Caenorhabditis elegans: one gene and its partner. The protein of the gene in region 1 interacts with the protein of each later gene in a pairwise test. Each region holds a gene or a part of one and is shown on either strand. Other genes may lie near its edges. The genes, in order: bath-30 and mau-8.

Region 1 (16,388 bases):
TATTTTGCATATTATTTGCTTTTGTTATCACTTTCATTTTAAAAGTGTTATTTGTTTTGTTTTCTGTTGTGGCATAAATTGTAATTTTGAAATTTGCTTTCTATATCAATCAATATTATGGGAAAGGTACTGTAGAAAACTTGTTTTCAATTGGAATAATATCGGAGGACAGAAATTATTGTGAACACAAAAAAGGGAATGCGTATTGCACAACATATTTGACGCGGAAAATATCTCGGAGCGAAAACTACAGTAATTCTTCAAATGACTACTGTAGAGCTTGTGACGATTTACGGGCTCGGATTTCAAAATGAATTAAAAATTTATTTATCTATAGAATATCAAAATTAAGCAAAAAATGAGAAAATAATACGAAATGACGAAGTAAAATGGGATATTGCTGTCACTGTACAAAAATAAATTCATTCCGATTATAAAGCCCGTAAATCGACACAAGAGCTACAGTAGTCCATAAAAAAATCACTGTAGCTTTCGCTACAAAATATTTTGCACGTCAGATGGGCTGTGCAATACGCACTCTCAAAATTTTGTGCTCGCATAATATCACACTGCCTTTGAGATAGGAATAAAGCTGATTTTCAGATGGCACCTTCCAGTCGAGAAATCACGTCCCGTAAGAAGAAAAAGCTGGGAATCATTGTATGGAGAAAACAATAACCTGAAAAATGTTGAACCGTCTAATTTTCAGATTCCCATCATTATTCGCAGAAATTTTGCGCTTCTGAACAATAATGAAGCAAAGAAAGAAAAACTCTGCATCAATCGTACTACAAAGAAAATTGTTGATGTTCGAAATTTCAGAACTTTCCGTGACAATGTAGATGACTATCTGAGTGACGATGGAATGATGAAACTCCATCTAGGCATCACCATTTCAGTTTTCAAAAAATTGTTAACTCTCATCCGTCACGCGCAAAGGCATTTGAACATTCATAAAAATTTCTCACAGGTAACACCCAGAACGAGATATCCAAAATGCATGGTCTTTCCCAGCCGACAATCTCAAGAATTGTATGTGGAGTTATCGATGATCTAGTTCGGGTTTCTTCGGAATATATCAAGTTCCCAACAACTAGCGATGAGATTGAAACGATGACGAAAAAGTTTTATGAAAAGGAAGATTCGAATGGGGAGGAGAGACGAATGCCGTGCTACGGTATTGTCGACGGGAAGCATTGGAGATGCGAGCACCCTCCAAAGAGCGGAGCCCTGAATTACAACTATAAAGGGTTCTTCTCTTTCAATTCATTGATTGTGTCCGACTCGGATTACAGAATCCTTTTTGTGCAGATGTGTAAGAACGGATTGAATTCTGACGCACAACTGTACCAAAATGGTCCTCTTCCCAGGCTCTTGACCAAGGCAATTGAAAATGTCGGTTATCGTACTCTTCCTGATCCCAACGTCCTGATGCCACCATTCATCCTCGCGGATAATGGTTTCGGTCTCCACAAGTCGATGATGCAACCATATAGGCCAACCCAAATTGGTCTGAATCCAGAAGAGAATATCAGTTTCAATTTCAAGCTGAGCGGTACACGAGTTAAAGTCGAAAACGTTTTCGGAGTATTGACTTCGAAATTCCACATCTTCCAGCAAAATCTGAGGCTCGAGCCGAAAACGTCGCAGGCACTCATCATTGCTGTCTGTGTGGTCCACAACATCTCTGTCGGACCTCTCGAGGTCATTCCCGACGACCCAAATCGTCCAAAATTTAGAGATCCGTACAGAACTGCAGAGCAGCAGAGAACGGCTTTGAAGAAATACCTTCTTGATCTTTGATTTGAAATCTGGAATGAATACATTGTTAAAAGAAATGCTAATTTTTTTTATTTCAAAATTGAAGTGATTTTATTTCAAAAAACAATTTTTTATTATTTCGGGAAGATTCCATGGCTTTGAGCGGTTCCAAGAAGAGTGAAAAATCGCCGCTGCTCTCTGAAGCAATGAACTGCAATCAGACATCGAAGGGACCAGCCGATCACGGAGCCAACCTGCCATTGAGCTTCTGAAAATTAATATATTTGATTCAATTTATTGTACGAAATCGTTTTTACCCATATCTGTGAGCTAGCAAGCTAGCTAATCGTGATTAATTGTTGGGTATTCCTTCGCGTTCTCCACAAGCAAAATTCTTGTCTGCTCATCACAAATGATGTCGTCAGCATCGCTCTGATCTTGAAAATCCTGAAATTATAACATTCTAGAGGGTTTCTGATGAGAATAGTTATCTTATAACCAACACCAAATACGTTCTTCATTATGGCATCAGGCAGCTTTTCATATCCGCAGAAGAAGTGCTCGGCATCATGATCGGATGCTCTATTTGGGAAACGACCGATGTAGACACAAGCCATGTTGAGTGCCCGAGAGAGAGATTATCTGAAACATTTAAATGTTAACTAAACAGGAGTTTAGAAACTTTAAAACAACCTAACCTCCGTGATAACGTAGTTAGCTTCTCGAGTGAGCTTCTGTGATCCCGTTTGAGCATATTGAGCACACGCGTTGAGCATCTCGGACTGTTGAAGAGTGAGCTTGTTGATTGGGACGATTACTGAAAAGTTTTTTGAATTAAAATAAGTTTTTCTTCAAAATAAAACAGAATGAAACAAGAATCAAGTGGGTAAAATTGTAAAATGAAGTATTAGACATTTTCGCTAAATAACAGGCATTTTCGCTAATTTTGGCAGTAAAAACCTATAATTTTGGTAAAAATCGCTTGTATTCTGAAAGAAGAACTCAATATTTAATTTTTTATAACTGATTTTAAAGAGAAACAAACGAAATATATGAAAAAATCGAAAAAATCCCTGAAAAAGGCCTCCGCAATATCGATTGTTAAAGGGACACCGACTGTTCATCGAATGGGTCCCGCCGCGATTGTCCATTTCGAGCGCTTTTCGCGATTTTTTACTACTGTAAAAAAGTGTAGGAAAATGTCGAAAAATGTCGAAAAATTACGTCACAAATGTATTTAAATACATGTTTTTATTGTTACTTGAATAATGGGGTTATTCAAGTAGTGTCGGAAAATTAAAAAGTGTAGAAAAATTAAAAAGTGTAGAAAAATTACGTCACAACTGTATTAAAATACATAAAAACATGTATTTTAATACATTTGTGACGTCACAAATGTATTTAAATACATTTTGCTACATTACTTGAATAACCCCATAAGGCAAAATATGTATTTAAATACACTTTTTAATTTTCCGACATTACTTGAATAACCCCATTAGTGAAAAATCAATGGTTTTTACCATTAATAACCGGGAATCCGTACAAAACTTCGAGAAACTTCTGAAAATCGTCTACATCAATGTCGTAGAGGGGCACTTCGGCGAGTTTCGCCTCGTAGAAACCGCCGAGGAACAGGGATTCGAAGAAAGTTGAATGAAAGGCGAGGAACTGGAAATTATTTTGATTTTAACGTTAAAATATTCAATTTTTAAACCTTTTTCAGCAAATAAAATCGTTGTCCATTCACCAAAACCACAATATCCGAGTATTCCATCATTTTCTCGTCGAAATCCATTAATTTCGGTGTATAAAATCCAATTGATTTATTAATAAGCACGCGGGCTTCTACAGTGATACTTCCGGCTTCCATAAAGCTTGTTTCCAGCTCATTCCAGCTAATAAACTCGCTCCAGCCGTACGAGGAGTAGAATTTTCCAGAATCGTGTCCAAAACACATGTCTATCTTGCATTTTTGATCCCTGGTGTCGGAATAAACTGAAACAAGCTTCAGCTCAAGCTCCGAGAAGATCGACCACATTTCCTGGTCCTTGAGATTCGTACATCGGAGATAAATGCCGAGATTTCCGTTGTTTCGCTGAATTTGGAAGATCCTGAAAACATATTTTCACAATAAATTCATTTTTCTTGATTTTAATTACCACGGAACATTGAAATATTCCTCCACTGTGCCGAATCTCATATCATTGTCATTCATATTTGATACATCGTTAAATACACAACGGAGCACAAATTCTTTGCCGGTGACTTGGCTTCGGCTCATTTTCAGCCTGAAATTAAGTTTAAAATTTTGTTAAATTTCAAATTAAAATTAGATGAAAAACATTGAAAAAAAACGCGGAAAATGAAGCGAAATTCAAATTCAAAAAATAGATTTTCGAAAACTTGTTTCACTGACTACGGTAGATTTTTGTTTCTGCAAAGTGTTTGCGTCCTTCACACTTCACTCCACGCGCAATTCTCGCACTACGGTATTTTTATTTATAAAATTTTTTAACTGGTTTTTTTTTTCATTTTCCGATTAAAGCTATCGTTTTTTGGCCGAATTTTTATTGCGAAACGTTTTAAAACCTGACATTTATTCCTTAAAAATACGTTTATAATCTATTTTTTCTTCAGGAAAATGACCGAACTGGATAAGTTCGAACTTTGGCCCGAGTTGCCGTCGGATTTCAAACTTCAATGCATTCAAAAAATGGATTTCGAAACGAGGTTATCTAAATTTCACCAAATAACTTATTAAAAATTATATTCAGATTTAACCTGCGATACACTTCCAGCGAAGAGATGCGCCTCGTGGACTCCCAGAAGATCTCATTTGAATTGATGAAAATCAATTGGAATTTCATTTATTTCGAAGTAACGTTTACTGGAAAGCTAGAAGCTGATCTACACGTTGACGGGTGGTGCAGTGAACGTAAACTGCTCCCACGTCTTCTCTTCGCTTTAAAAGTTGGAAAAATTCAACAACTTCACATCTGGAATACCACCGAACGGCTTCTAAACGAAACACTTTCTCCATTTACGGGATCGATTTCATTGAATGTCAAAAACCTTCATCTCGGCTTGGAGAGCAACAACGATATTCTATTCTTTTTGGAAAAATGTGACAAGAAACAACTGAATACTATTGAAACTGACCAAAGGGACAACGATATGATATGAAAGAAATGAATATGATATGAATGATATGAAAGAGCTTGTCGAAGCATTAATTGTTAGTTCGACAAGCGATTTCCATTGTATTTGCAAATAATAATTATTATCATTTAGGTCTCCAACTACAAAAATGTGGCTTTCTCTAAATGGTACTATCCCGTCAACCCAGAAAATATGGATTTACTCGTGAACTATCAGATTGAGGTTTGTTTCAACAATTTGCGAACAAGGCCAACAAATATTACTTTCAGAGTTTGATTTCGAATAATGCAACAATTGGAATAAATTATCGATTCAAAAAATGGGATGCCGATCAATGTATGGATATGATGAGCACAAATTTCAAAGATCGTGTTGTGTGAGTGTTCCCTGATGCCGAACATTAAAATGACTGATTTTTTACAGCCATTTCAAGAAAAACGACGAATTGAGACTTCAAACTAATAATCCTGCCAAACACATTCTTCTCACAAAATGCGATCGATATTCAAAGGCGTGGGGAATTTTGTGTCAAGTCATTCCTTCGGATCTTCACGAAACTGGATTTGTTGCCGTGTGGCCAGGCTGGAATGATAACGACCCCGATGCGGATAGAGAGCCGATCAGAAATTATGATGAATGGGATGACTGGTATGACTCGAACAGCTATCATTCACTATTTTCTTAAGAAGAATGGCTATGGTTACCTGATTAATTAATCTTGTTATTGTTTTGAATTATTGTTTTCCATTAAAGCATCATTTGTTATCTCGTTAATTTTTCTTCGAAATACTGTTTCACTTCAGCTCTTTTGTACCTTCAAAAATCGATTTATGGTGCGTCCATAGTCTGCGGAAAACGGGAATTTCCCGCGTGCGGAAGCGTCTGCGGAAAAAACAAGGAGTTTCTCGCTTTGTTATTGGTCAATTTCAAAATAGTGAGCGTGTTCAACCAATTAGAGGCTGTAAAATTTTAAACTGAGCAATGGGAAAACAAGAAACAACAGCTGATTGGTTTGCCACGCCTACTTTTTTGAATTTTGAGGAAAAAAAAGCGAGGAACTCCGGTTTTTCCGCAGACTATGGACGCTTCCGCACGCGGGAAATTCCCGTTTTCCGCAGACTATGGACGCACCATTAGAGTTTTCCAAATCCGAAATTGAGAAGACTACGGTAGAACGCAATGTCCGCAAAGTGTTCGCACACAATGTATCACATCTCACGCGCACTTCTAGAAGTTTCGTAGAGTACGGTACATTGACTATTTTTCACCTTTTTCTTCAGAATCCTGGTTGAAAATTGTGCGAAAACGTTATTTTTTTTGCTTTTATTGTTATTCTAAAAACACCAATTAATTATAAATTATTGATTTTCCAGTAAAATGGGCGAACCGGAGTACGAAACGAATTGGTGTGATTTGCCGCCGGAATTCAAACTTCAATGCATTCAAAAAATGGATTTCGAGACGAGGTAAGTCACTTTCCTAATTGAAAATCTTGTAAATTTCTATTCTTTTAATAATTTTCAGATTCAACCTCCGCTACACTGCCAGTGAAGAAAAAAATCTCGTGGGCTCTGAGAAGCTTCACTTTTATCAAGTATATTTCGAAATCTTAGGATATTCGAAAAGTCTTGTAGCTACATTTCTTGACAAGGAGAATGCTCAATTGGATGTGTGCGACACCGAATCTGTTGTCAAAAGCCATGTTATTCCACGTCTTCTCTATGCTGTCAATGTCGGAACCATGCAGAAGCTCTACATCCAAACAGACTCAGACAAAGGAATCAACGAAGTGCTCGCCCCGTTATAGGAACCAAAAATCTTTGAATGTCAAGTTCTTGAAGCTCGATTCGAATAACACAAGCGAAATGCTTTATGTTCTGAACAAGTGCAATGGGCTCGAATCTGTCGAGATTATTCACTACAACAACGAAACGACTGATATGAAGGAGCTTGTCGAAAATCCAATTGTAGGTCGTTCCAGTTTCCAACGAAATTTCACCTGTAAAATGTTTCAGATTGTGAACTGCAAGCAGGTGACAATCTCAACAGTTGGCGGCATGTACGGCTCACGTGAATTGCTTATGAACTTTCAAATTGAGGTATCGTTAATTGGTTCTTGATGGAAAAATTAATAAAAATCAAAATCACTTTCAGCGGCTCATCTCGGGTGATTCTGCAATTGGAACTCGTTTCCGACAAGGATCGTACGAACCTGACCACGTAATGTCGTTGGTCAATAGTTGTTTCAAAGACCGTGTTGTGTGAGTCTTCCATTAGTGCAACAGTTTATATATTATTTTCTATTTTACAGAAATTTCCAAGACCATCAAGGATTGAGACTTCGCACCGACAACCTTGCCAAGCAAATTCTTGTCAAGAAGTGTTGCAGGGACGATTTCGAATTCGAATGGGGAGTCTCGTGTCGAGTTATTCCGTCGAATCTTCAAGATATCGATTTTGAGGAAGATTGGCCGATCTGGACTGACATCGATTCAGATGAAGATTGCGACTATTCTTCTGACGACGAATATGAATATCAATACAACTCAGATTCTGACTGATTTGGATTTTTCTAATTTTGTTGTTGTTATTTTGTTTTCTTTTGTTGATTTGTTGAATAAAGTTGTTGTGTTGAAGTACTTTATGAAAGTGAAAACGGCCAGTAAAATTTTGGTTGGGCTTATTGGGACGAATAGAGCTTTTACACGAACATTTTACGTTGTTTTTCACATAAAAAAGTGTAATTTTAATTTTAAAAATCAACTACCGCAGTGCGAGAAATGCGCGTGAAATCCAGTGTGTAGGACGCAAACACTATGCAGAAACGAAAATCTACCGTAGTCAGTGAAACAAGTTTTCGAAAATCTATTTTTTGAATTTCCATTTCGCTTCGTTTTCCTTTGTTTTCAATAGTTTTCTATTTAATTAATTGTTAAAACTTAACAAAATCATATTGTAAAACAAAAATGCTCTGTTTCGCACCATTTAAATACCAATTTCAGACTGAAAATGAGCCGAAGCTCAGTCACTGGCAAGGAGTTCGTGATCCGTTATGTATTTAACGATGTATCAAATATGAATGAAAATGATATGAGAATCAGCACAGTGGAGGAATATTTCAATGTTCCGTGGTAATTAAATTCAAGAAAAAATTAATTTATTGTGAAAATATGTTTTCAGGATCTTCCAAATTCAGCGAAACAACGGAAATCTCGGCATTTATCTCCGATGTAGGAAACTTAAAGGCCAGGAAATGTGGTCAATGTTCACGGAGCTTGAGCTGAAGCTTATTTCAGTCTACTCTGACACCAGGGATCAAAAATGCAAGACAGACATGTGTTTTGGACACGATTCTGGAAAATTCTACTCCTCGTACGGCTGGAGCGAGTTTATTAGCTGGAATGAGCTGGAAACAAGCTTTATGGATGCTGGAAGTATCACTGTAGAAGCCCGTGTAATTATTAATAAATCAATTGGATTTTATACGCCGAAATTAATGAATTTCGATGAGAAAAAGAAAGAATACTCGGATATTGTGGTTTTGGTGGATGGACAGCGATTTTATTTGCTGAAAAAAGTTCAAAAATTGAATATTTTAACGTTAAAATCAAAATAATTTCCAGTTCCTCGCCTTTCATTCAACTTTCTTCGAATCCCTGTTCCTCGGCGGTTTCTACGAGGCGAAACTTACCGAAGTGCCTCTCTACGACATTGATGTAGACGATTTTCAGAAATTTCTCGAAGTTTTGTACGGATTTCCGGTTATTAATGGTAAAAACTATTGATTTTTCACTGAAATAATAGTTTTTTTCAGATAATACTGTTGAAGGAATCCTTTTGCTGGCTGATATGTACCAAACGCCGCTTGTCTCCGAGCTTTGCGAGGATTTTCTCATTCAAACCACCGGAAAAACCTACAAGAAGAAGCTACAAATGGCGATAAAGTTTAATTTGGAGAATTTGAAACAATTCTGCATTTCAATGATCAAATCTCCCTTCGATCTTCGTTCTATGATCCCATCGGACATTTCCAGCATCGATCACTCTACGTTGGCGGCTCTTTTCACAAAATCACTCACTTTAATGAAATAATATGTATTTTATCAAACAAAATCCATTTTACTCGCTTCAGATGTGCCATTTAATAAATTCTAGTGCTTCTTAATTTTTTTGTTGGCTTTTATCTCGTTTTATTAAACGGTTTTTTAGTTGAATATCAAAAAAAAACTATTTAATCTGACTACGGTAGACGGTGAAGTACGCAATACACAACTGCGTACCTGGCATTTAATTTGACGATTAGTGTGAGCAAGTTTTCCGATAATTTGTTGTTTTTTGAGTTCTTTTTCATTTTTCGCGAATTTCAAAGAATTTTTCAATGAAATTGTACACTTTAATTCACTTATTTTTCAGAAAACTACAAATTTCAACCAAATCGCTCGGAAAATGGCGGATAAATTGGCGAACGTGTTGGATTCGATTAAAATGTTCGTTTTTTTCACCGCTCACCGGTGAAAAATTTTCCAAACAGTTTTTAAACTAAAATTTGTCTTAATTTCAGCTCCTCCGCGCCAACGCTGATTCCTGACAATCTGGATCCGATCAATAGTTCCGACGATTCTTCGCTATCCGATTTGTCGATGGAAACGGCGCCGGAAACATTCTTGTATGTAAATATCCATTTAAAAAAATCAATATTATACCTAAATTCTTGTAATTTCAGCTCAGAACCTCCAACTCTGTCGGATATGTCAATGGAAGTGCTCGGCAAAATTGTGGAAAATCTGGATCCATTCAATCGGTACAATCAAATACTATGGATTTTTATAGAATCAATAGTAATTTCAGACTTTCCGTCCGCAAAGTGTGCCGTAAACTGCGCGATGCCATCGATTCCACCGATCCAGGCTTCAAGACCGTCGAGGTTCGCGTCACTGATGATATGTGCTTGCTTTGGGCGAATAGTCAGTCTTCTTTCTACAGTATGACGGTTTCTGGAGGCATAATTAAAGGCACAAAGCGTTCGGAAAAATCTGAGTTTACTTCTTTGAATGGACTTTTGGATGAGCTTGCTGTGGTGCTGAAGAATCCTAGACTTCAGCTGGACAAGCTCGTGATCTACGCTACCATGGAACAAGGAAATATTGTGAAGTGGTTCGAAGCAAGCAACCCGATTCACACAAAAATGCTCAAGCTATCCGGATTCGAGCTCAGCGATTTCATTTTCCTCCTGTCCCGCTTCAAACCAGGTGTTCTTGAGGAAATCGATATTTCGTGGTACTTGCATCTCGCGAACACGCCATTCACACGAAATTATCGATTAACTGACTTATTCGAGATGGAACAGTGGAAGCAGGCAAAATCGATTATCTGAAAATTATCTATATGTTATTTCAGATCATCATGAATATTCCTCACTTCAAAAGCGGCGTAATTTGGGCTCATCAATCAATTCAACCGGAAGTTGCGAGAGTTTTCGTCCCAGTCTACGATTTTGGTTATCTTCGTACTTCTGATATTAAGGAGTTCCACGGCGATGAATTCCTTTTGACAATCTGCAAAGAGTTTTTTAAAGTCGAAAAGAAAAATTGTTAATCTTAACCTTGTTATTTTGTTAATTCTTGAGTGAAAATTAATACTCTTTGTTGTTAAAAATTGTAGAAATATTTATATTAAAATACTATTGTTTAATTCGATGAGATATATTTTTCTGCGTTATTTTTAAAGTTAATATCAGTTTTCCAGGCTTTTCCTCATAAGAACCAAAAAAAGTTCTGCGATTTTTAATCGGAAAAATTGAATTTTTAGCTAAAAACCATTATTTTTCAGATCTCCGTCACAAAATGAGCAATTCAAAAAAGGAATTCGTCCTGCGATTCAATTTAAAAAAAACCTGGCTCATGAAGAAAACAGAGCATTATACTAGTGAAGAGGAGGATCATTTCGGTATTAAATGGTTGGAATTTCCCCTAAAAATCGATTTTTAACGAATTTATTTCCAGGTGGCTGCGCGTAACTCGTGATGATCAATTTCTCTACGTAGATTTGGGAAAAAGTGGAACGGGATCCACTAATTTTCATGGAAACTTCAATGTTCGTGTCGAATCGGATCATGGAGTAATTTCAGAGAATTTCAAGTTTTCTGGAAGCAAAAGCGATGCTGAAATGTAGTTTTTTTTTGCGGAAAATCTATAAAAATAGCTGATTTTCCAAATTTTCAGACCGTCAACTTCCAATCGTTGCGAATCTTTCAAATGGAGCAATTTGGATTATTCAAAATACCTTTCCATCGAAGGACACGTGGAAATTATCGATATGACCGGCTATCATGATTTCCAGAAGCGTGTGGATTTCGGTAGTGACGTCACTAGACGGTTCGCTGATACAGTGCTTATTGTGAGAGGACAGAGGTTTTATGTTCTGAAACAGGTATCGATTTACTCCAATTAATCGAAAAAAAATTGTTTTTTTTCAGCACCTCGCTCTGCATTCTCCATATTTTAAAAATCTCCTCAAAGAATGTACATTGGATTCAGAAATTCAACTTCCCGATGTGGATACAGATGATTTTCAGAAATATCTGGAAATTTTGTACGGATTTTCTACTATTCATGGTGTGATTTGCAGAAAAATCGCAAAAAATCTATAATTTTCCCCCAATTTTCAGATAATTTCGTCGAAGGAATCCTGCTTCTCGGTAAATTTTTCGAGACGGAGAGAATTATTACGGCTTGCGAGAACTTTTTAATCGATAAATCGAGCAAATCAATAAGAAAATTGTTCGAGTTATCTAATAAATTCCATTTGAAGAAGCTTAATGTTAGTAATTTCTATGGGATTTTCAATGAAAAATCGATATTTTCAGAAGAATTGCGTTGAAAACATCAAAACATCGACGGCTCTTCGTCTCATGCTTCCACCGGACGTTCTCACCATTCATCATACTGCAATAGTCGAGCTTTTCCGAAGATCTTTGCAATTTCATTGATTTTTTCCCTCGATTTTTAAATGTATATTCCAATGTTTTAATGAATGATCACTCTTCGACATTACAGAGAAATTTGAACTACTAGAAGCTTGGAATTTGAATTTTTGTCGGAAAAAAAGCAAGTTTATCCGAAAATATCAGGAAAAAACTTTCAATTTCAAAGCAAAAAATCCACCGTACTCCAAGAATTGCGCGTCAAATATAGTGACTGTAACGTACACACTGCACATTCGGGAATCTACCGTAGTAAAAAACATTTTTTTCCGTTTTTTTTTTGCAATTCTCAATAACTGAAAGTTCTTTCAGCGATCCTCCGCAAAAATGACTGAAAAGCAAGATTTGATGTCTGAATTTCAAAAACTTCGCCAGGAATCTTCAAAAAGTCATTCTTCACTCACGGCTAGTTATATTCGGATTGATTTAAATTTAAATTCTTCATTTTTTACAGACTTCGCCATTAGAATATCGATTGATTGAAGTTCAAAAATGTTGCGAGAAGATTTCAAAGCGACAAGATGCTCAGGACGAGATTAACACTTCAATTCTCGACGAGCTCCACAAAATTCAAAAGAATCAGAAAAAATTGCTGGAAGAAGTTGGAGCTATTCGAAAGGAAGTGGATTCTATGAAAGCAACTACTGTAAAGGAAAATGAAGTGAAAGATGACAGAAAACTATCGCTAAATGAGATGCTACGTAAAAGATGTCTTCAAGTAAAGAATACAAAGATGAAAAATTCTTCCATGCCAAAGTTCCAGTATTTTGTTCGATTAAATGGAAAAACTCGCACTCTTAACGTTAATGCTTCGGATACAGTTGAGCAAGGAAAAATGCAATTATGTCATAATGCTAGGAGTACACGGATGAGCTACGGAGGTAGGAAATTATTCTTTAAAAAAATTAAATAAGTATGTTCACCATTTGTTATTCAGGAAAGCCGCTCTCCGATCAGATCACTTTTGGCGAGTACAACATCAGCAACAATTCGACGATGGATCTGCATTTTCGTATATAGTTTTTCTGATTTAATTCGTCGACAGTTTGTTTTTTTCTGTATCTGTTAATTTTTTCAAGATAATAAATTTCAAAAAATATGCAATTCAGTTAGTAACGAAAAAAACAAAAAGCCGGGCATAAAATCAATTTTTCATTCAAAATAAAATATAGCACAAGAGAGTCCTAAGCCGTTCCACTTCCCGATCCTCCATCACCACCATCATCGCGAGGCTCTCTGAAAAATTGGCAAATTTATGAAACTTTTAGTACGAAAACTGTTACCTTTTGTGGAGCAGGACCGGCTTCACGTCGACTTCAGCAGCTTGACGAGCTTCAGCGAGTTGACGGGTGCGCGAGCGCGTCAAGATTGGCGAGCGAGGAGCGATCGGAGCTGGAGCCACTGGCACCGGTGCTGGAGCTGGATTTCAGGGGAGCCTGGAAAACAAAATTTCAAATTTTTAACGAAAAGTAGTACATGTAATTTTATTTTAAAAAAAGCCTCGAAACTTAAAGAAAATGCAGTTTTTTTCAACAAAAAATGGCTAAAGCTTATAATTTGAGTTTTCAAAATCAAAATCAAAAGTCAAATAAACCAGAAAAATATGCCATCTTAACCGTAAAGTTATTTTAAAAATTGCAGAAAATGCACCAAAAGCTCAGCTGTTTTTTCCTCAAAAATTCAAAAGTACGGGAAAAATACATACTTACCAGTGGAAGCCCTTGACGTGCAGCCGCTTCTCTATCCAGCCTTCTTTGCCTCATCACCTCGTTCATATGTGCGGCATTTCTCCGATCTCTTCGCTTCTGGGCAGTTTCAAACATGGTGAACACCAAGTTGAGCTGAAAAATGCAATGAGTAAGTAAAAAAGAGCATAGTATTGACTAGAAGCGAATAGTTCAGAGAAAAGATGCTAAACGATCAAATACAAATAAAAATTAAAAGCACAGGCACAAATAAACTAAATAAATTAGCAAAATTCTGGAAAAAAGCTAATGCGGCAAAACACATATCGATTGAAGACATCACCCAAGACGGCCGATGAGAGACACCAGAGAAAAAGAGGGAAGTGTCCCTATCCCCGTAACAAGATGAGAAGAACGCACCGTGCGCACTGTGCACTGTGAACAAATCCTAGGGAAAATCGGATTGGGGTAAACTTTTTCAGAGGGTGAATCCATGGGATGTTATAGGAGGACATTGCCATTATGATACAGAAGTTTTCAATTTCCAAATAGCATTTAACGGATTTGTATACCTAGAATTTCTTAAAGTGAAGATGGCTCGGTTCATTTTTTTTGATTAATCTTTTTGTACAACTGTCATAACGAAAAAAAAAATCGAATTACCTACATAACTGTAGTTTGCTTCCTTGATATAAATTTTGACAACTCATAGTCGAAAAACGAACCGAGCCATCTGAATTTTAAGAAATTTCAGGCATGAAAAATTAGATGTACCCATGGAAATGAAACTTTTCTCCATTTTCTAGAAAAACCATTTTTTCAATCACAAACACCCAAATTTTTTGAAACTTCATATATTTATTCATTTAGGTCTGAACAGTAGATAAATACAAAAAATTGATTTTTGATTTATTACGATTGAAACCGTGATGGAATAAAAGCAGAATAGTATACAGACAGAGAAAATAAATACGTAATACATAGGAAGAATAAACAAAAAGATACGAATAAATTACAAAAAATCTATACTAACCGTTCAAAGTTTGGCTCAAATTCCGGTAAAAAAATTGAAAATTAGCATCAGAAAAATTGCTTTTGAAATATTGGAAAAGCTAGCTGCTCAGATGAATCAAATTTAAATTAGAAAATACCAAATAAAGAATGTACGAAAGTTAATTTTAAAAAATGCAGAATTTAACAAAAAGCTGTATTTTTCAAAAATTTAAAAGTACTGCAAAATCATATGGAGTCATTTTTTTATTTCATAAACCTCTTCAGCATAGTCAAAAATACCAGAATATGCCAATCAAAGTATAATAGCTTGAACGGAAGTATTTTTTTAAAAATTGAAAAAAAATATATAAAAGCTGATTTTTTCAAAAATTCAAAAGTCCTGGAAAATCATATGGAGTCATTCTTTTTTATTTCATAAAATTCTTCAGCATAGTCAAAATTAACAGAATATGCCAAACAAAGTATAATAGCTTGTACGGAAGTATTTTTTTTACAATTCAGAATTCAACCGAAAGCTCTTGTTTTCAAAAACTCAAAAGTTGAGATTTTTCAGGTCGAGTCTGGAAGTCAGCACCACGTCAAGGAAAATGCACAAAACGCCGAGATTCCAGCAGCCAACTTCGACCTCTGAGTGCCGTGAAATTTGTAATAGAGCACTTTAAATTTTGAATTTGTGTTTATTTAACTTAAAAGAGAAAAAAATAAAAAAATCAAGAGCAATACAACACACTTTTCTAGAAAATTTACTACTATCAATATATCATATTTCAAATAAATTACATATCGTGTCTTATTTCAATAAACGTTATATTTCCCAATTTTCTTAAATTTTTATGTACAATTCGATTAAGTTGCCGCCTAATTGGTGTGTTCGTCAGCAAGGGAGTCGGGTTTTTGTTTTTTTTTTGCAATGTTCTTGGATCAATTTCAAATCTGTTCTGTTGTTGGTAAGTACCTTGCGCCAGCTCCAATAAAAATTTCCTGAAAAAAATCTCGGAACCAACTCTGAACACGTTTTGCAACACTTTCCCTTCAACCAAAAAATGCGTTTTAATTCGATTTCCCTCTTCCCTACAAAACTTTCCCTGTTCCTCCTGTTCTGCAAAATAATGCGGCTCCCAACTCTTCTCAGTCTTCTCTTCCTTGTGGCATTTTCTACTGTGAAATGTAACTATAGGAGTCGTCAAGTGCCTTCAGGGTGGGCTAAGACGGTCCTAGAGAATCATATTCACGCGCTTGGAGGAGCAATCAGGAGCCAGAACAGGGAGCTTTTGGGCAAGTTGTTCAGAGGTAAAAGTTCTAGAAAAATTTCCTTTTTTCTGGAAAATTTGAAGTACGCCTAACTTTTTTTTGACATTCCATGCTCTGGCCACAAAATAACCAGCTTGTCATCTGAAAAAAAAACACAATCTGAAAAAGTTTCAAAATTCCTTTCCCAGCGGATGAAACAAACACAATTGAAATTCTTCTTTCCAAGTACAAAACTGCAAAGTTCTCTGTGCAAAACGCCCAATACGTTGGTTCTGACTACAAGGAGATTCAGGGAAGTGTCCGGGTAAAGCCTGAAGGAAAGATCGTAGTCACCTTGGCCCATGTGAGTGGAAATCTGTAAAAACTAGAGGAAAAAGAGAATTTCAGAATGGAAGAGCCCAACTGGATGGATCATCGAAAAAATTGGAGAACGCAGATCATTTTTGAATGTTGTTTGAATAAAGTACATTTTTAAGCTGTCAAAATAGAAATTGAGGTCCCTGAAACTACCATGGTTTACAGAAAAGATTTAA
Region 2 (16,388 bases), on another chromosome or scaffold:
ACCAGTCTCCTCCTCTAAGAGATAGATTTCCGCAGGGAAGAGACATAGACGTGGAGAGGTTCCCACGAAGTGGGTGTGACTTCTCAGCCAGGGCTGAGCAGCCGCCCAAAAAAATCGGAAAATTTTTTTTTTTTATGGAAATTTTTTTTCGGCGATCGGCAATCGCCGATCGCTGAAACTTTTTTTTTTTCGGCGAAAATTGCCAAAAAAAAATCGGCGATCGCCGATTGCCGATTACCGATCAGTGTGCGTCTAATTTTTTTCAATTTTAAAATCCTAATTTTAAGAGCTCTTTCAAATAATTTTTTATAAAAACAGGAATATTAGGCAACGAAAAGCACTCCTTGATACCTTAAAATTCGAAAAGTAGTGAAAAATAGTCCGAAAATATACCTTTTTCCTACTTCAGAGGGGTATATCTTGGACTATAAAATTTCATCGGCGATCGCCGATCGCCGGAAAATCACGAAAATCGCCGATCGCCGATCGCCGATTGCCGCTCACCCCTGTTCTCAGCGTCGACAAGAGTTAATTTCGGGGCGCCTAGACTGGGTCGAACATCGACATGCTCACCATGGAAACCATAATTTTTTCTCTCTAAATTTCACTCCCAAGTTTCTATTTTTTTCTCATTTTATCAAAATTCCCATCGCTTTGTTTTCTCTTATTTTAGAAAATACTAGGAATCAGAGAAAAAACAGGAAGTAAAATGAATAACGCAAATAAAAACACTGTTGTATATAATTGAAAAAAAATCATAATTTGGTCACATTCATTTATTTCTAAAGTTTCTGTTCAAACATTTCATATAACGTTTTACTAAATGGCAGACGATTTTTTCCGACAAATTGGCAAACCGGCAAATTGCCGATTTGCCAAATTTGCCGGAAAAAACGGAATTTGCGGACAATTTTTAGCAAATTGTGGTTTTGCACACTTCTTTTTGGAAATTTCAGAATTTCAATTTCAATCGGCAAAATTATATGAATGTTCCTACATTTATTTCGAAAAGTAAGCAAATTCTATCAAAATATCTAAAGAAAGCGGGAAAAAAAATTCAACAAGGCACAGTTTTATGTGTTTCTGTCTTATAAAAAATCCCTCTAAACATTTCCGGCACATCTGATATCCGGCAAACGGCAAATCGGCACTTTGCCGAAATTGAAAATTTTCGGCAAATCGGAAAACCAACAATTTGTCCTTCTTTTTATTCTTTTTCAGTTCTGATCGTACATAATCCTTTGAATCAAAACCTTATCACAAAAAAAAGATGTATGAAATATTCCAGAACCAGTTGCAAATCGAGCACTTTCTCATCATTTCCGTGAGAAAACGATTGTTGCCAAGCTTCACTTCATTGCATACTCCCGAATGTCAAGCCATTTTTAGCCACTTTTTTCTTTTTGTTTTTTTACAATGAATTCCACAAAGAATCTTGTTCCAACTCCAATGATATATTCAACTATGGCATTATCAATTATAGGATTAATCGGGAATATGACTATTGTACTTGCCACTGTTATTAGTAAACGTCTCCAATCGAGATGTAATATATTAATTGGACTTTTGGCACTTTCTGATGTTGTAGTTTGTACTTATTTGGTGAGTTTTTAAAATATTCGAAATTTCAACTTTTTTTGAGCTTTTGTTTTATCCAAACGCAAAATTTTGACAAAATTGTGTTTGTCGTGTCAATCCCCGGTGCCATATTTTTGGCACAAAAGTTGCAAAATTTTGCTTCTGGGTTTGGTTTTATATGAGTATATCAGAAACCATTTTCTGCATTTTGTCGTCAACTCTGATCTCTCTAAAGCTAGAGTAAAAACTAGTCAAGAAATTGCCGTTTTTGTGGAAATTTGAATTTTTTTCAATTTAATTCAAAAATTAATTTACATACATTTTTCTGATTTTTAATTTTTTTTTTCAAAAAAAAATCGGAAAATTAAACAACATTGCGCGGGAAATGTGGTGTATTTGTGTGGTAAATCGCACTATCTGCAATTACCACCAATAAATAATATTTTACGATCGAAATATTTTTTTTTTCGAAAAAACAAAACTTAAAAATGCGTTTTCAGATTCATTTACGAGTTTTGATGTTCTTGGACATGTACATGTTGACTTCAACCCAGTGTTTCCTACTTTCTGCCTATGGTTTATTTGCTCTAAATATGCAAAGTTCATTGTGCCTTATTATAGGATTAGATAGACTTTATAATGTCACCTACCCTTTGCGGTAAGATACACAAAAAATCTCGCCACGAATAAAATATTTCGAATTTGAAGCCGATCAAAAAAAGGATGTACCTTTAATAATACAGTAACCGGTTTTCCCTTTTTGGTGTATTTTCTAAATAGTTCAAATGCTTACAGGTGGTGCCAGGCTGTCCCATTACGGTTTGATCTACAAAAAATGCGGGAATTTTTCGCCCAAAAAATATGACGTGAGCACGTTCTTAACCATGCGAAATCAGTTGAGAAGTCTGCGTCTCTTCTCCCGCATTTTTCGAAGATCTACGTAGATCAAACCAGACACTCTGACACCACGTGATGCTTCAATAAAATAAAGCTTTTGAGAAAAAAAAATTGAATGGGTTACTGTAACTCTTATAGGCGCACACTTACGCCGCCTCGAATTCGAAATTTCTTCGTTCGTGGCGAGACCAAAACTAATATATATCCCGTTCCTGCAGATATTCCCAACTTCCAAACTCATTTTACATTGCCCTTTTCCTTTTTTGCGTGGGATTTTCCGTTCTTATCACTTATTCCGGATATTCTTATGCTTCGGGTACATCAGAAAACCTAGAAACAGTGCTGTAATTAATTTTTATTTCCAGATTCAGAAATAGTTCTAGTATGCTTACCACCAACAGCTTATACCGATAAATCTAGAATTATATGGATTGGTTCGAATTTTATTATTGCAATTTTAGTCATTTTTGTGTATGGTGGTGCACAAATTCGTTGTCGGATTTTGAGAGGTTCGTTTTTTGCGTACTTAATACACCATAACTCACGCGCAATTTTTTCTCAAACGTGTGTAGTGTCAGAGTGTCTCATTTCGGCTCGATCTACGTAGATCTACAAAAAAATGCGGGAGAAGAGACACAGATTTCTCAACTCATTTCGCATGGTTAGAAACGTGCTGACGTCACATTTTTTTGGAGAAAAAAATTCCCGCATTTTTTGTAGATCAAACCGCAATGGGACAGCCTCACACCACGTGAAACAGCTCAATCCAAATCAACATTTTGAGCTTGATGTCTGCTATTCCCAAGTGCTTAAACTAGACTTTTTCAGCCCGTCACGTGCACGAACAATCTATGGATGCAGTGAATCGACTGCTTAAATCGTTGAGCATTGTTGTAACAATATATGTCTGCACGTGGTTTCTCACGATCAGTTCACTTGTTGTTTCTCAGGTACAATATTTGTTGGGAAATGTCTTCTGATTTCAGGCATAAACAATATAAAATATTACACGTAGTTCTAGCTAAAAAATACGCGAGTGCGCGTAAAATGTGATGCATTAGGTTGGTAAATCGCACAGCCACGCTATTACGGGAACACAAAACTCTGAGAATGCGTATTGCACAACATATTTGACGCGCAAAATATCTCGTAGCAAAAATACCCGCATTTTTTGAAGATCAAACCATGATGGAGCAGCCTGTCATCACGTGCAAAAGCGCTACAGTAGTCATTTAAAGAGTTACTGTAGTTTTCGCTACGAGATACTTTCCGCGTCAAGTATGTTGCACAATACGCATTCTCAGAATTTAGTGTTTCTGTAATATTTTGCAAAAACCATTGCGATGCATTCGATTTTACGCGCAAAGTTCAAAAATTGGGAAAACCAGAAATCAAATCATTATAATATAAATCGAATTCACTGAAATTGAATTTATAAACTCATTATTTTTACTCGACCAACTTTTCCCCAATTTTCAGTTGATTACCTTTTCACCGCCTGTCACCGCAGAAATTAATCGACAACTTGGCTGGCTGGTGATTATCAATGCTTCACTCAATTTCTTTGTTTATCTTTGGAGAAATTCAGAATATCGGTAAGGGAGTGTTGTATTATGGAGACGCAGAAAAATGCTATTGAGGTGCAAGAGCGCTCCAACGCTAAACGGGTCTCGTTAGGTGTTTGGCGGTAAAATCACGGATTTCTGGCTTCCCTCATAAATTGAAATGGAAGAGTTTGCCGATCTAGGCCATTTTGGCTCGGCCGTAGCCGGGGTAGATTTACGGCGCGTTGCGTGTCGCGTCGCGGTTCAATTTCAGTTGTAAAACTAAATGAATTTTTCCGTGTGGAGTACACGACTTTCCCACGTGTTATCCGTCAAGCGATTGTCAATGGAGCGCGAAAAATTCAATGGGGAAGGCCAGAACCCCGTGATTTCTGGTTTTTCCGCCAAACCTAACGAGACCCAACTCACCGTGGAGCGAGCTTGCACCTTGATTTAAACAAGAAACATTTTTTAAATCCGTTTTAAATGCAATTTTTTCAGAAAAGCATTCATCCGACTTTATGGACTTTCTCGACTCTTCAGCGTTGAAAATACCTCGATTGATGCTGCAACACGAGTAATGAAGTCTTCTCATGTTCGAGTTGCATAATATTTGTTTGTTTCAATAGTGAATTAATAAAACATTTTGAATTATCAGCAGGGGAGATCATTTGTTATGAACAGGAATCACACAGATGACTTGAAAAAAAAAGCATATCTACAGTACTACTTCAAAACAAAAAGAAGTGCATTTACATAACTGAAAATCTGAGTTCAGCGCCTTCTGCCTGCAATAGGCGACGCTTCTTCGCGATTCCCCAACGATATCCTGATAGATTTCCAGTGCTGCCGATCACACGATGACACGGAACAATGTAGGCCAAGTTGTTGCGAGCACATGCCGAGGCAACAGCTCTCACCGCCGACGGATTCCCGATTTCTCGAGCAATCTGTAAAGGGTTATTGTAAAATAAGCCATTATGAGTAATCTTAAAGGCGCAGGGGCTATTTCAGATGGGTCTCGGCACGCAAAAAGTTTATAGTATCCTTTTTTTCAATTAAATTTCTTTATTTTCAGCGAACTCTCATTTTTCAGGCCAAATAACAGGAACAACTTATATTTTTAATGAAAACAATTTTTCAAAATGAAACCATAAACTTTTTCTCGCCTAGACCCATCTGAATAAATCTGTGCGCCTTTAAGAAAGCATGGCTCACATCTGAATATGAGCGAGTTTCTCCTTTTGGGATTTTTTGAATGGCGCTGTAAACTTGCATTCCGAAAGCCGTGTCTCCTTTGTGTACCGCATTGACTTTGATCGTTGAATCAAGTGTATTCAGAGCTTGCACAATCTGAAAAGAGCCGCAATTGGATGCGCACACTTAAAATAATTAATATTTACACCGGAGCTTTGTGTTGGTTTTCCTGGAATGAAGTTAACTGTGGGATAGGCGTCATGAAGTTCCTCCATCTGATCGTCTAGATCATCATCAAGAAGATAAATCGCCACAACTTTCTGACTTCCAACACATTCAGCAATCAGAGCCTGTCAAAAGCCAGTTCAGAAATCTGGATCTCATTTTCCTCACCTGTCCCTGATCCGTCTCTACGACTTCATAGACGCACTCACGGATGATCATTTCTACTTTAATAAAATTGATGTTTTTATTCATTGGATTGCTTCTGACTTTCAGTATATAATGTTTCAAAACATGGATGTGAAGATGACCGGAAAACAATAACAATTTATTAACATACAATGATTTTAGTCGAAAAGACCGAATCCCATATCATCGTCGGATTCCTCCTTTGGCTCTTCTTTCTTGGCCGGCTTGCTGTCAGCGGCTGGGGCAGCTCCTCCGGCAGCTGGAGCAGCGGCGGCGGCTGGGGCGGCTCCTCCGGAAACCTGAAAAAGCACAATTTGAATTTTTCTTATTAAATTTGTGACCAACTTGGGCACGGTTTTTAAAAGCATGACAACAAATATATAGGCTTTTCACGCGGTTAAGCCAAGAAGACATGGAAACGGGAGTAAAAAGGATTCCTAGAAAAGGAGGTCTCCGAAAGAAATGTGTACTACGCTAATACAAGTCGAACACTTCGAAGTGTTGATGAACAAAATTTAATTTTCAAGCCGTCAAAGGCCTTTTTTTCTCAAAAATTTCCGAGTTAAGCATCGCTGAATTTTACCAGTGCAGTCAACTTTTTTAGGACTTCATAACATTGTTCGAGGAATTTCCATAAAGGTTGGATACGTACCGAAACGAGTCCAGCGGATCCCTCAGCGATGAGCTCTTCGACTGTCTTTCCTGCAAGTCTGGAGACAACGAGCTTGGCGGTCTCAGCATCAGCATCAACTCCGACAGCGCTCAAGATGTTCTTGAGGTCGTCAACCTGAAAGAACACAATTGAAATAAATGTTAAAATGTTTCAATTCCTTTTAAGAATTACCTTTGGGTTGGCATTTCCTCCGAGGACGGCGAGCAAGTAAGCCGAAACGTAACGCATATTACCTGCAAAACCATAACTTTAATTTTAAATATTTCCAGGAAAATCTGGCGATAAAAATCGAAAATTGAGTATTTGCAGATAGTTTCAGCATCATGATATGTCAAGTGAAGCGCAAATTTTTTCTGAATCGATTCAAGATAATTTTGTGAAGAAAAACGCGGAAATCGATGAGAAAAATCATAGGAAAAATCGCAAAAAAAGAAAAAATTCACTTGACCGAGAGGCTGGCCTACTGTCGAGGCGCGCGTGGCGAGACCCACTCGTCGCGAAATGTCGTGTCCCTTTAAACAGCCAACATTTGCAATGCATTGAAATTGCAGATTTTATATTATTTTCGAGGTTTTAAACTACTTTTCTTTAATTTTTCCGTATTAAACTGAGTCTGAATCAATATTTAGTGATAAATTTCAGCAAAGGCACCTTGTTTGGTTGCAGAAACAGCAAAACTGGTGAGTTTTCTTGCTGATAAATATTTCAAAAATGAAAATTCATTTCATTGTTTTTTCAGTCGGCAATCTTCAACTTCCAAAGTCTTATCTCAGTTATCCTTCTTCTCATTTGCACGTGTGCCTACATCAGAGCCTTTGCACCGAGAATAATCGATAGAAACAAGGAAGGGTGAGTGTTTTTTTTTTGTTGAAGACGCAGACTTTTCGTGGAGAAATCGAACATTCAAAGCATTTTCAGTCTCCTCGGCGTTTTCTGGAAGTGTGCTCGAATCGGTGAACGTCTCAGTCCGTGGGTATCGATCAGTTGCTTTTGCATGGCATTTGTTGTGCTGTTCCTTTAAAATAATGGCTATCCGCATGACTCCATCATCGAAACGATTCGATGAAAAAACAAACGAAATGAGGCGCCGTCCGCCTGTAAAACCAAGCAGTAATCCTAATCATATTTATATCACAAGGTGATTAATTTTTATCAATTTAGTTGTACAATTTCTCATTAAATAGTGTTTTTTTGCAGAAAAACCAACGTCGAATCACAATCAAAATCCACCGAGGAGATGTTGAATAACGCATTCGATGAAGTTTTCATCCATGGAATGGGAGCATCTATCAATAAAGCTCTAGTTTTTGCGATGGAAGTTGAGAGAAGATTCGGTGGAAGTGTCAAGTCTGATATTCAAACGTCTACTGTACAATGTACAGATGATATTGTATCACTTCTGGACCTTGATCAAAGCGAGACACGTCATCGTTCTGTTTCTGCCGTGCATGTTCATCTTTATCGTGTTGCCTCGTAAATCTTCATTCCACTGAATATATATTACACATAATTTTGTCAATGGGTCTTATTTTTTTGCCTACATGAATTAATTATTTTTTCCTTTGATTTTTTAGTTGTTCTTGGTTACTCTTTCCTATTATTTTCTACATTTTCAATCACCGAGTCGCCAAATTTTTCGATTTTTGCTCAAAAATTGCGGAATATTACGCGGAATCCGGTCTCGACACGACATTTTTTTTGTCAAATGTGAAAAGGTGTGCGCCTTCAAAAAGTACTGTAGGTTCAAACTTTCGTTGCTACGGAAAAATTTATTTATTTAATTATTTAAAAAAAAAACTAAAATTTTTAACAAAATCAGCATCAAAATTTTTAAAAATACAGTAATCTTCAAAGGCGCGCACCTGTTTACATTTATTAAAAATTTGTCGTGTCGAGACCTGATACAGTAAGCGAAATTTCGCGTCTGAATAATAAATTAATTTAAGATGTTCGGTAAAACATTACTACGAAGGATAGCCTGCTCGAATCTCAATTTAAAATCAAGAAAACTGTCCGGAAAGCCACGTTTAGCAATTGTGGGCTCCGGTCCCGCAGGTAATAATAGAACAATTTTCTGGAAATTTCGTAAACTATTTCCAAAAAAATTAAATTTAGGAATGTTCGCGTGCAACGGATTGCTTAGAAAAAGTAATTTCTCGGTAGATGTATTCGAAAATTCTCCAGTTCCATTTGGATTAGTTCGGTATGGTGTGGCTCCAGATCATCAGGAAGTGAGATTTATTCGAGAAAAAATTAAGAAAATCGGTTCTTTTGGCCACAATATTCAATTAAAAACGGAAAAATCAGGAAAAAATCTTCTCCGAATTGCATATTGGTGCCAAAATACCATTTTAACTAAAAATTATTGTGAAAATTTCAAAATTTCAGGTAAAAAACGTGATAAACACATTTGATGCAATGTTCGAAAAGAATCGTGAACGGCTGAAACTATTCTGCAATGTGAAGTAATTATTTAATTTCTCAATTATTGGAGGACTGTGTCGAGTTACGCAGCTCGTGTACTCCACGAGGAGAAGAATTTTACAGTTTTTATTTGCGAAATTCTTATAGAAAGTTTATTTTTAAAAAGTCAAACAAAAGTCAAAAAATTAAAGGAAAATTTTAAAGCCAAATTTATTAGATTTTTAAAATCTTATTCATATTTTTCAGTTCTTGCAATTAATCCAGATAAAAAACAATTAAATCCCACTTAAAATTGCATGTTTTCCTCAAATTTAGAAGCATGAAGGTTCGAAAATCTTTTTTTTTTTTTTTGAAAAAATCTCACAAAAAACCAAAATTTCCATATGAAAAGTTGGGAAAAATGTTTAAAAATCGACCTTTAGTTTCCAAAACTTGAAAATTCTTTAAAAAATTCAGTCTTCTCCTCGAGGAGTACACGAGCCGCGTAAATCGACACGTGGGGGGTTGTCAAGAGTGTCGGTTTTCGATTGTTTCAACAACAAACAACGGAAAATGCTCGATTTTTGAAAAATTGATTTTTTCGATTTTTCGATATTTCGAAAAAAAAATTTCGATTTTTAAAAACGTACACTACTTGTTAGCTTAAAACTTTGGACATTTTTCTTCTTTTTAGAGTAAATTTTAATATTTTTTCTCATCAATTTAAACGAAATTAGATTTTTAAAAAAATCATATTTTATGTTCAATTTTTCTAATTTTCTCAGAAAATTGTTCGTTTTTCGATTTTTAAAAATTCGAAATATCGAAAAAATATTTTTGAGACCCCAGGAAAACAGTATTCACATAAACTTGTAAAACTTTTTGTAAATCCTGTTTCTTGGGGTCTCAATTTTTCGATTTTCCCTCAAAAACTTCAAAAAATCGAAAAACGACACTCTTGGTGGTCGTGGAAGAGGTTTTCCACGGCCATTCTTGCATTTTCAAATACGAAAAATCATGCAATTTTTCAAATTTCATACTTTTTTTTCAGCATCGGACGAGACATTACATTTGATGAGTTAACACGTGGCTATGATGCAGTCCTTCTGGCATATGGATCATATAAAACACGAACTTTAGATATTCCTGGAAGTGATGCCTCAAATGTAATATCTGGATCAGAATTTGTTGGATGGTATAATGGAGTTCCAAATGCATCAACACCAGATCTTACAACATCAAATGTTGTAATTGTTGGAAATGGAAATGTTGCTCTTGATTGTGCACGTGTACTTTCAACAGCTTCTTCTGGATTATTAAGGATCAGTGATATTCCTGGAGATCGATTGAATGTTCTTGAAGGAGCTAATGTTAAAGATATCAAGATTTTAGGACGAAGGGGACCAGAACATGTGAGCATTCTGAAATTAAATTTTTTTTAAATATGTTAAAACAAAATTATCCACTTTTTATTGTTCCGCCTGAAATTGATCTGAAAATCTGAAAAAGAGAAAGAAAAAATCCCAAATTTTCATATTTGAAATTTCAAAAAAAAAAATTTCTGTAATAACATCGAAAATGTCCGATTTTCAAAGCTTTTAACGAATCTTTCTGATATTTCTTTTATTTTTTAATATTTTTTTACTTCGAAAATTTCTTGTTTTTCAAATTTTGTGTTAGAATACCCAAAAAACTGAACATTTTAGATTTTTAATTTTATAAAATTTCGAATTTTCTAAAATAAAATCTTTAAAAAATTACAAAAAGCGCAATTTTTTGTTTTTTTTTCCAATTTTTAATGTCAAAAATCCGAAAATGATGGTTCTTAATTTCAAGAAAAAAAAACAATTTTGTAGATTTTTCGAGAAAAAAATTTATTGAAAAAAAACATTTAAAAAATTTCCGATTTTTCTATTCCAAAAATCGAAAAAAAATGTTTTTAGGTATTTAAAAACCTTAACATTTTAATTTCTTTAATTTCATTTTTTTTTGATTTTTTGTCTATAGAATTTCAGCAAAAAAGGCTTTTTCAAAAATTTAATTTTTTGAATTTTTGGTTTTCTTAGCTTTTCGGAAAAAAACACTGAAAAATGTTTGATTTAAAAATGAAAAAATTCAGAAATTCCGATTTTCAAAAAAAAAAACCATAAAAATCGATATTCCGATTTTTCAGAAAAGCCTAACTTCCGCATCTATTTTCCCGATTTTTAGTTAAAAAATAATCAAATTTCGTATTTATTTTTTCAATTTCAAAAAACTAGCAATTTATTCATAAACATGAGCACATTTTGATTAAAATTGTTTTTTCTTAAATTGAAAAATATAGTTTTCAATTGAATTCCCCAAATATTCCCCGATGCAGATTTTGTCCCGATTTTTCGTCAAAAAAATTATTAAAAAATTCTTATTTCAATTTTGAAAAATTAGCAATTGTTGTTCGACTTATTGAAAAAAAATTATATTTAAAAAATAAGTTCAACAATATTTTTCGGTCTTTACAAAAAAATGTGATTCTTAATTTTTTTTTTTTTTGGAAAATCGAAAAATCTAGTTTTCAATTCTTCAAAATTCTCCAAATAATCCCTCCCGAGACAGATGCTCAGAATGACCCCTCTCCCCCTCATTTTATGCTTCCTTCCGTTCCATTTGAGCAACCAGACGTGGTTAATCGATTCTGCTGTCCCCCTAGGTTCTCTCCGTCTCCTTCAATGTATTCTCCTCACACATTTTATTCTCCAATTCCTTTCAGGTTTCTTTCACAATCAAGGAGCTCCGCGAGCAATTCAAAATTAAAGATTGGGACAGTAAACTGGAAATATCTGAAATTGACGCTAAAAATTTAACAGAAAGCTTACCGAAATTGGAGCGGAAGAAAAAACGATTGACCGAGGTATTTTTGAAAAAATAAATAATTTTTAGTTTAAAAAAATTCAATTTTCAGGTCCTCGTAAAAAACATTGGAATTGCAAATGGACTTCGACAATGTCACTTTATTTTCCATCGAATTCCAGAAAAAATTATTGCAGATTCGAATGGAAAAGTTCAAGAAATTATTGTAAAAAATAATGAAACTGGACAGGAAGAAACGTATCCATGTGGATTATTGATTTATTCAATTGGATATCAGACACTTGTTTTAGATGGAGTACCTCAGAATGATAAGGTATTGAGTGTGTGGAAATTTCGAGAAAAAAATTCATATGACTGAATTTTAACGTTTTTGCGAAGTTAGGAAAATCAAATTATTAGAAAAATGAAAAAAACATATTCTGGATTTTAGAAAAATCAGTAAATCTATCTCTATCAAGAAGCCGCCGAAAAAATGTCAAAAAAAGTGAAATTGTTGTCAATTTTACAGATTTCGTGTATAAAACTTAATAACCCGAGCGGAAATCGATAAAACTTTATAATTTCATATAAATTAAAAATTTTTCTTGCTGAAAATTGTCTGAAAATTTTGAAATTTCAAATCAGAAATCAGAGAAAAATCAAGAAGAGAGCAAAAATGTCGAAAAAAGTTCATTTACCATTTGAATTTTTAGAAAATTGAAGAAAAATCGTTCAATCAGTAAAAAACTACATTTTTTAAGAAAAAAAAATTCAAAAACCTCACGGCAATTTGCCGATTTGCCGGAAATTTTCAATTCCGGCAATTTGACGATTTGCCGATTTTTCAATTTGCCAGAAATATTAATCTTCGGCAAATTGCCGATTTGCCGGAAATTTTCAATTTCGTCAAATTACCTTTTGCCGATTTGCCGGAAATTTTTAATTCCGGCAGATTACTGATTTGCTGGAAATTTTCAATTCCTGCTATTTGCCGGTTTGCCGATTTGCCGAAAATTTGCAATTTGCCGGTTTGCCGGAATTTGACAATTCCGGCAATGTTCCGATTTGCCGGAATTGTTAATTTTCTCTAATTCGCCGGTTTGTCAGAATTTTCCAATTCCGGCAATTCGCCGGTTTGCCGGAATCGGTCATTTTCGCTAATTTGCCGATTTGCCCGAATTTTCCGATTCCGGCAATTCACCGATTTGCCGGAAATTTTCATTTTCGGCATATTTCCGATTTGCCGGAACTGTTCAATTAAGACCGTTTGCCGGTTTTCCGATTTGCCGGAAATTTTTATTTTCGGCAAATTGCCACTTTGCCGGAAATTTTCATTTTCGGCGATTTGTCGAAAATAAAAATTTCCGGCAATTTGCCGGTTTGCCGATTTCCGAAAATTTTAAATTCCGGAGATTTGCTGATTTGCCAGAAAATTTTTGGCAAATTGCCGGTTTCCTGGAATTTTTCAATTCCGGCAATGTGCCGATTTGCCGGAATTGTTAATCTTCGTCGATTTGCCGGTTTGTCGGAAATTTAAATTGGTTTAAATTATCTGGAAAACTATTATGACCCATAATTCCCGGATTCAAAAAAAAATCATAAAATCTCTGCAAATATATTTTTTTTATTTCAGAAAATGATAGACATGAAAGATCATTGCCGTGTAAATATGGTTGCTGCGTGTTCATCACAAGTGTATGCAACTGGATGGTGTGCTCATGGACCACATGGAATAATTGTAGACACTCAACAACAATCAATTTTTGTTGCCGATCAAATTGCCGCAGACTTTGCACAATTTAAAGATAGCACATCTAATGGAGTTGAAGAATTACTTGAAGATCGAAAAGTTCCATTTATATCATGGGATGAATGGAAACAAATTGATAGACAAGAACAAGACACTGGAAAGCTATCTGGAAAGATTCGAGAAAAGTTCACAACTTTTGAGAAATTTCTCACGAAATTGAAGAAATGCAATTAGAAAATGCCATAAATTATCGAGTTTTCTTTCACCCTTTTTTCCGGGTTTTACTGGAATTTCAGTACATTTTCTGTATTTAACTAGACACTTCTAGATAGAATAAATCTTTTTTTTTATTTTTTTATTGGATTTTTTTCCAGATTTTGGTCATTTTGCCAAATTTATTACCTTATTTGAATTATTTGATATTCTGATCCAAAAACAAATTGCATTTTAATGAGAAATTGGAAAATTCCCAGTAATTTTTGAATTTTTTTGATAAATATTTTAAAAATTTGCAAAAATATTTGAAAAAAGTATCAAATTTCTCATATATTTTCCAAAGAAAAAACAATTAATTTATAGAAAAGTCTGAAAAACGTTGAAAAAGGTAAAAATAGGAATTTAAAAATTATATAAAACGACCGATTTTTAATTGTTTTTTAAATTTTGATTAATTTGAAAAATTTAAAAAAAAACTTTTTTTTGGTATATATTTTTTTCAGATTTTGGCAATTCTGCCAAATTTATTACCTTTAATTTGTGTGATATTTCTCTAATTTTAAAAAAAGTTCCTTACGAAACTATCAGGAAATTTTACAAAAAATTTTAATTAATAAAATGCTTGAGAAGAAACTTTTTTAAAGAAATTTTCTCACCAGTAGTTTCAAATTTCTCATGATTTTTCTGAAGAAAAATTAAATCAAAATTTCTTTTTTTTTTTTCGAAAAAGATCAGAAATATAAATTTAAAAAAATATTTTTTCAGAAAACTCTAATGAATTTGGAATCACGAATTCTGGACGGAAAGCCTGCGGGTTACTGTAGCAGCTCAGAAGGTGAAGAGGACGATTTCAAAGTTGTAAACGATGAGGATGAGCATCAGGCGAATGTAATGAAGAGAATGGGACCATCTTCGAATACTGGAGCAAAAGGAGTGCTCAATGAGTTCAAAGCGTTCAGAGAACAGACTAGATTGTGAGACTATTTAAAAAATTCTTAAAAATTAAAAAAAAAATTTTGTAAATTTTCAGAGCTGTCGAATCAAAAAATCAGAAATTAATTGAGCAAGCGAAGAAAGGAATGATGATTGGATCGAAAGAAGAACGAGAAAAAGCACAACGAGAAGATGATGAAGATGAGGATTTTGAGATGACTTTGGAGGGATTAAAAGCGAAGAGACTTAGAGAAATGAGAAAAATTGCAGCAAATCGGGTTATTGAAATGACTGATAAGGTATAGGAACAATCAAAAAATACTTTTTTTTTTTTATTGTGAAAACTTTTGAAAACTTTTTAGAAAATATGGGAAAAAAAGAAAATTTCTCCAAAATGAATAAGAAAAATTGGCAAAAATTACCAGAAAACTGGAAAAAAAATTTTTTTTTCACTTTCCGAGTAAAAAATTAATTTCGAAAAAAAAAATACCAAAGATTTTCGATTTTTTTTCTAGAAAATTCAAAAGTCTCTCAATCTTTTTCTAGAAACATTTAAAAACTTGTCGAAATTTCAAAAAATCAAAATTTCTAAAAGTTTCGATATTTCCTTTTTTGATTTTTTAGAAAAAAACTTTTAAAATTATTTTTACAATTTTTAGTCGGAAATTTATTTTTTTTTAATTCGAAAAATTTCGTTATTTTTCAATTTTTTTCCACAATGACGTCGAGAAATTAATATTTTGATTTTATTTTTAAAAAATCAATTTTATTTTTAATAAAATAATAATTTTTTCTAATTTCTCGACATCGCCCCGTTGTCGTTAAAAATTCAAATATCGGCATTTTTCGAATTAAAAAAGTTGCTTTCTTTTCTTAAAAAAATCAAAAAAGGATATATCGAAACTTTTTCGATTTTTTCTCGAAAATTTAAAAAAAATCAGGTTTCCGTTTTTCGAGAAAAAAAAATTGCAAAATAATAGAAATTTTGATTTTTTTTTAAATTTCGACTAAAAATAAATAAAAAACGATTTTTTAACGGAAAATGATAAATAATGAAAACTAAAATTATTCAATTTTCCAAAAAAAATTAGCTTTTCTTCTTCATTTTATCGATTTCAAACATCCTTCAAAAATGCTCCAAGAAATTTCAGAAACAATATTCGGATGCCGTTGATGGAAGTTCATCATATCTTCTCTGTGTTCTAATATATGAGCCTGAATCCGATGAATGTGAATATTTGACACGAATCGTTAAGATTCTCGCCGCCGATTGTCCGAAAACCAAATTCGTTCGAGCGACAAGCACTCTTCTTGAAATGAGCAGAGCATTTGTATGTAATACGTTTCAGGGTCCCGACACGACAAATTTTTAGTTAAATGCGAAAAGGTCTTGCGCCTTTGAAGAGTACTGTAGTTTCAAACTTCCGAATTTTCAAAAGTTTTAAATTTTTTTTCGAAAGCACTATACACGTGATGTGAGAGTTTCTCATTTCGGCTTGATCTACGTAGATCTACAAAAATGCGGGAGAAAAGACGCAGAGTTCTCAACTGATTTCGCATGGTTAAGAACGTGCTGCCGTCACATTTTTTTGGGCAAAAAATTCCCGCATTTTCTGTAGATCAAACCGTAATGGGACAGCCTGGCACCACGTGCGTATATTGTTTCTGAAAAATTCAAATATAACAATAAAACCACATTCAATTTTGAAAACTCGTGAAAAAAAACCTATAGATATATGCAAAATCTATAAAAATTTCGGAGAAACGAACATTTGAAGTTACCACAATCTTTAAAGGCGCAGACGACAAAAAAAATTTTGTCGCGTCGAGACCTGGTACCGTATTTTTATTTTTAGCACAAATTTTCGAGTCTGGCCAATATTTTTTTATTTTTCAGAGAACGAACGGTGTGCCGTGCCTTCAATTCTATTCGAACGGAAATCTCATTGGAAATTTC

Evidence for each region.
Region 2: the proteins of bath-30 (region 1) and mau-8 interact in a two-hybrid assay, tested with the Caenorhabditis elegans proteins (one large-scale study listed by BioGRID).

Annotation. Positions count from the first base shown.
Region 1 is NC_003280.10:3,337,916-3,354,303, reverse strand, and holds bath-30 (BTB domain-containing protein), read left to right. Parts: upstream 1-7,925; 5' UTR 7,926-7,932; coding exon 7,933-8,054; intron 8,055-8,103; coding exon 8,104-8,500; intron 8,501-8,546; coding exon 8,547-8,694; intron 8,695-8,737; coding exon 8,738-9,015; 3' UTR 9,016-9,086; downstream 9,087-16,388. Other genes in the region: bath-29 (BTB domain-containing protein), read right to left, coding at 3,285-3,432, 3,479-3,875, 3,924-4,045; F14D2.8 (F-box domain-containing protein), read left to right, coding at 4,964-4,999, 5,056-5,145, 5,193-5,299, 5,347-5,571, 6,297-6,389, 6,448-6,730; F14D2.14 (FBA_2 domain-containing protein), read left to right, coding at 6,789-6,890, 6,939-7,022, 7,078-7,184, 7,235-7,484; bath-28 (F-box domain-containing protein), read left to right, coding at 9,370-9,410, 9,485-9,589, 9,647-9,724, 9,772-10,279, 10,321-10,518; F14D2.15 (BTB domain-containing protein), read left to right, coding at 10,767-10,879, 10,926-11,090, 11,145-11,352, 11,399-11,537, 11,591-11,742, 11,789-11,911; F14D2.11 (Ubiquitin-like domain-containing protein), read left to right, coding at 12,233-12,310, 12,360-12,786, 12,843-12,925; F14D2.5 (BZIP domain-containing protein), read right to left, coding at 13,240-13,341, 13,615-13,728; F14D2.7 (DUF4440 domain-containing protein), read left to right, coding at 15,648-15,894, 16,044-16,198, 16,243-16,302.
Region 2 is NC_003282.8:13,363,753-13,380,140, forward strand, and holds the start of mau-8 (Phosducin domain-containing protein), read left to right. Parts: upstream 1-14,263; 5' UTR 14,264-14,272; coding exon 14,273-14,472; intron 14,473-14,528; coding exon 14,529-14,730; intron 14,731-15,582; coding exon 15,583-15,762; intron 15,763-16,328; coding exon 16,329-16,388. Other genes in the region: srsx-25 (G-protein coupled receptors family 1 profile domain-containing protein), read left to right, coding at 1,417-1,602, 2,079-2,236, 2,694-2,791, 2,841-2,984, 3,304-3,425, 3,955-4,070, 4,521-4,629; agt-1 (Methylated-DNA--protein-cysteine methyltransferase), read right to left, coding at 4,772-4,969, 5,238-5,372, 5,423-5,566, 5,610-5,660; rplp-2.2 (Large ribosomal subunit protein P2), read right to left, coding at 5,786-5,926, 6,280-6,414, 6,472-6,528; popl-7 (Protein kish), read left to right, coding at 6,957-6,980, 7,040-7,149, 7,219-7,321; Y62E10A.24 (Ribonuclease P protein subunit p20), read left to right, coding at 7,326-7,438, 7,498-7,777; Y62E10A.6 (NADPH:adrenodoxin oxidoreductase, mitochondrial), read left to right, coding at 8,247-8,355, 8,416-8,531, 8,689-8,765, 9,755-10,115, 11,453-11,593, 11,645-11,866, 13,166-13,516.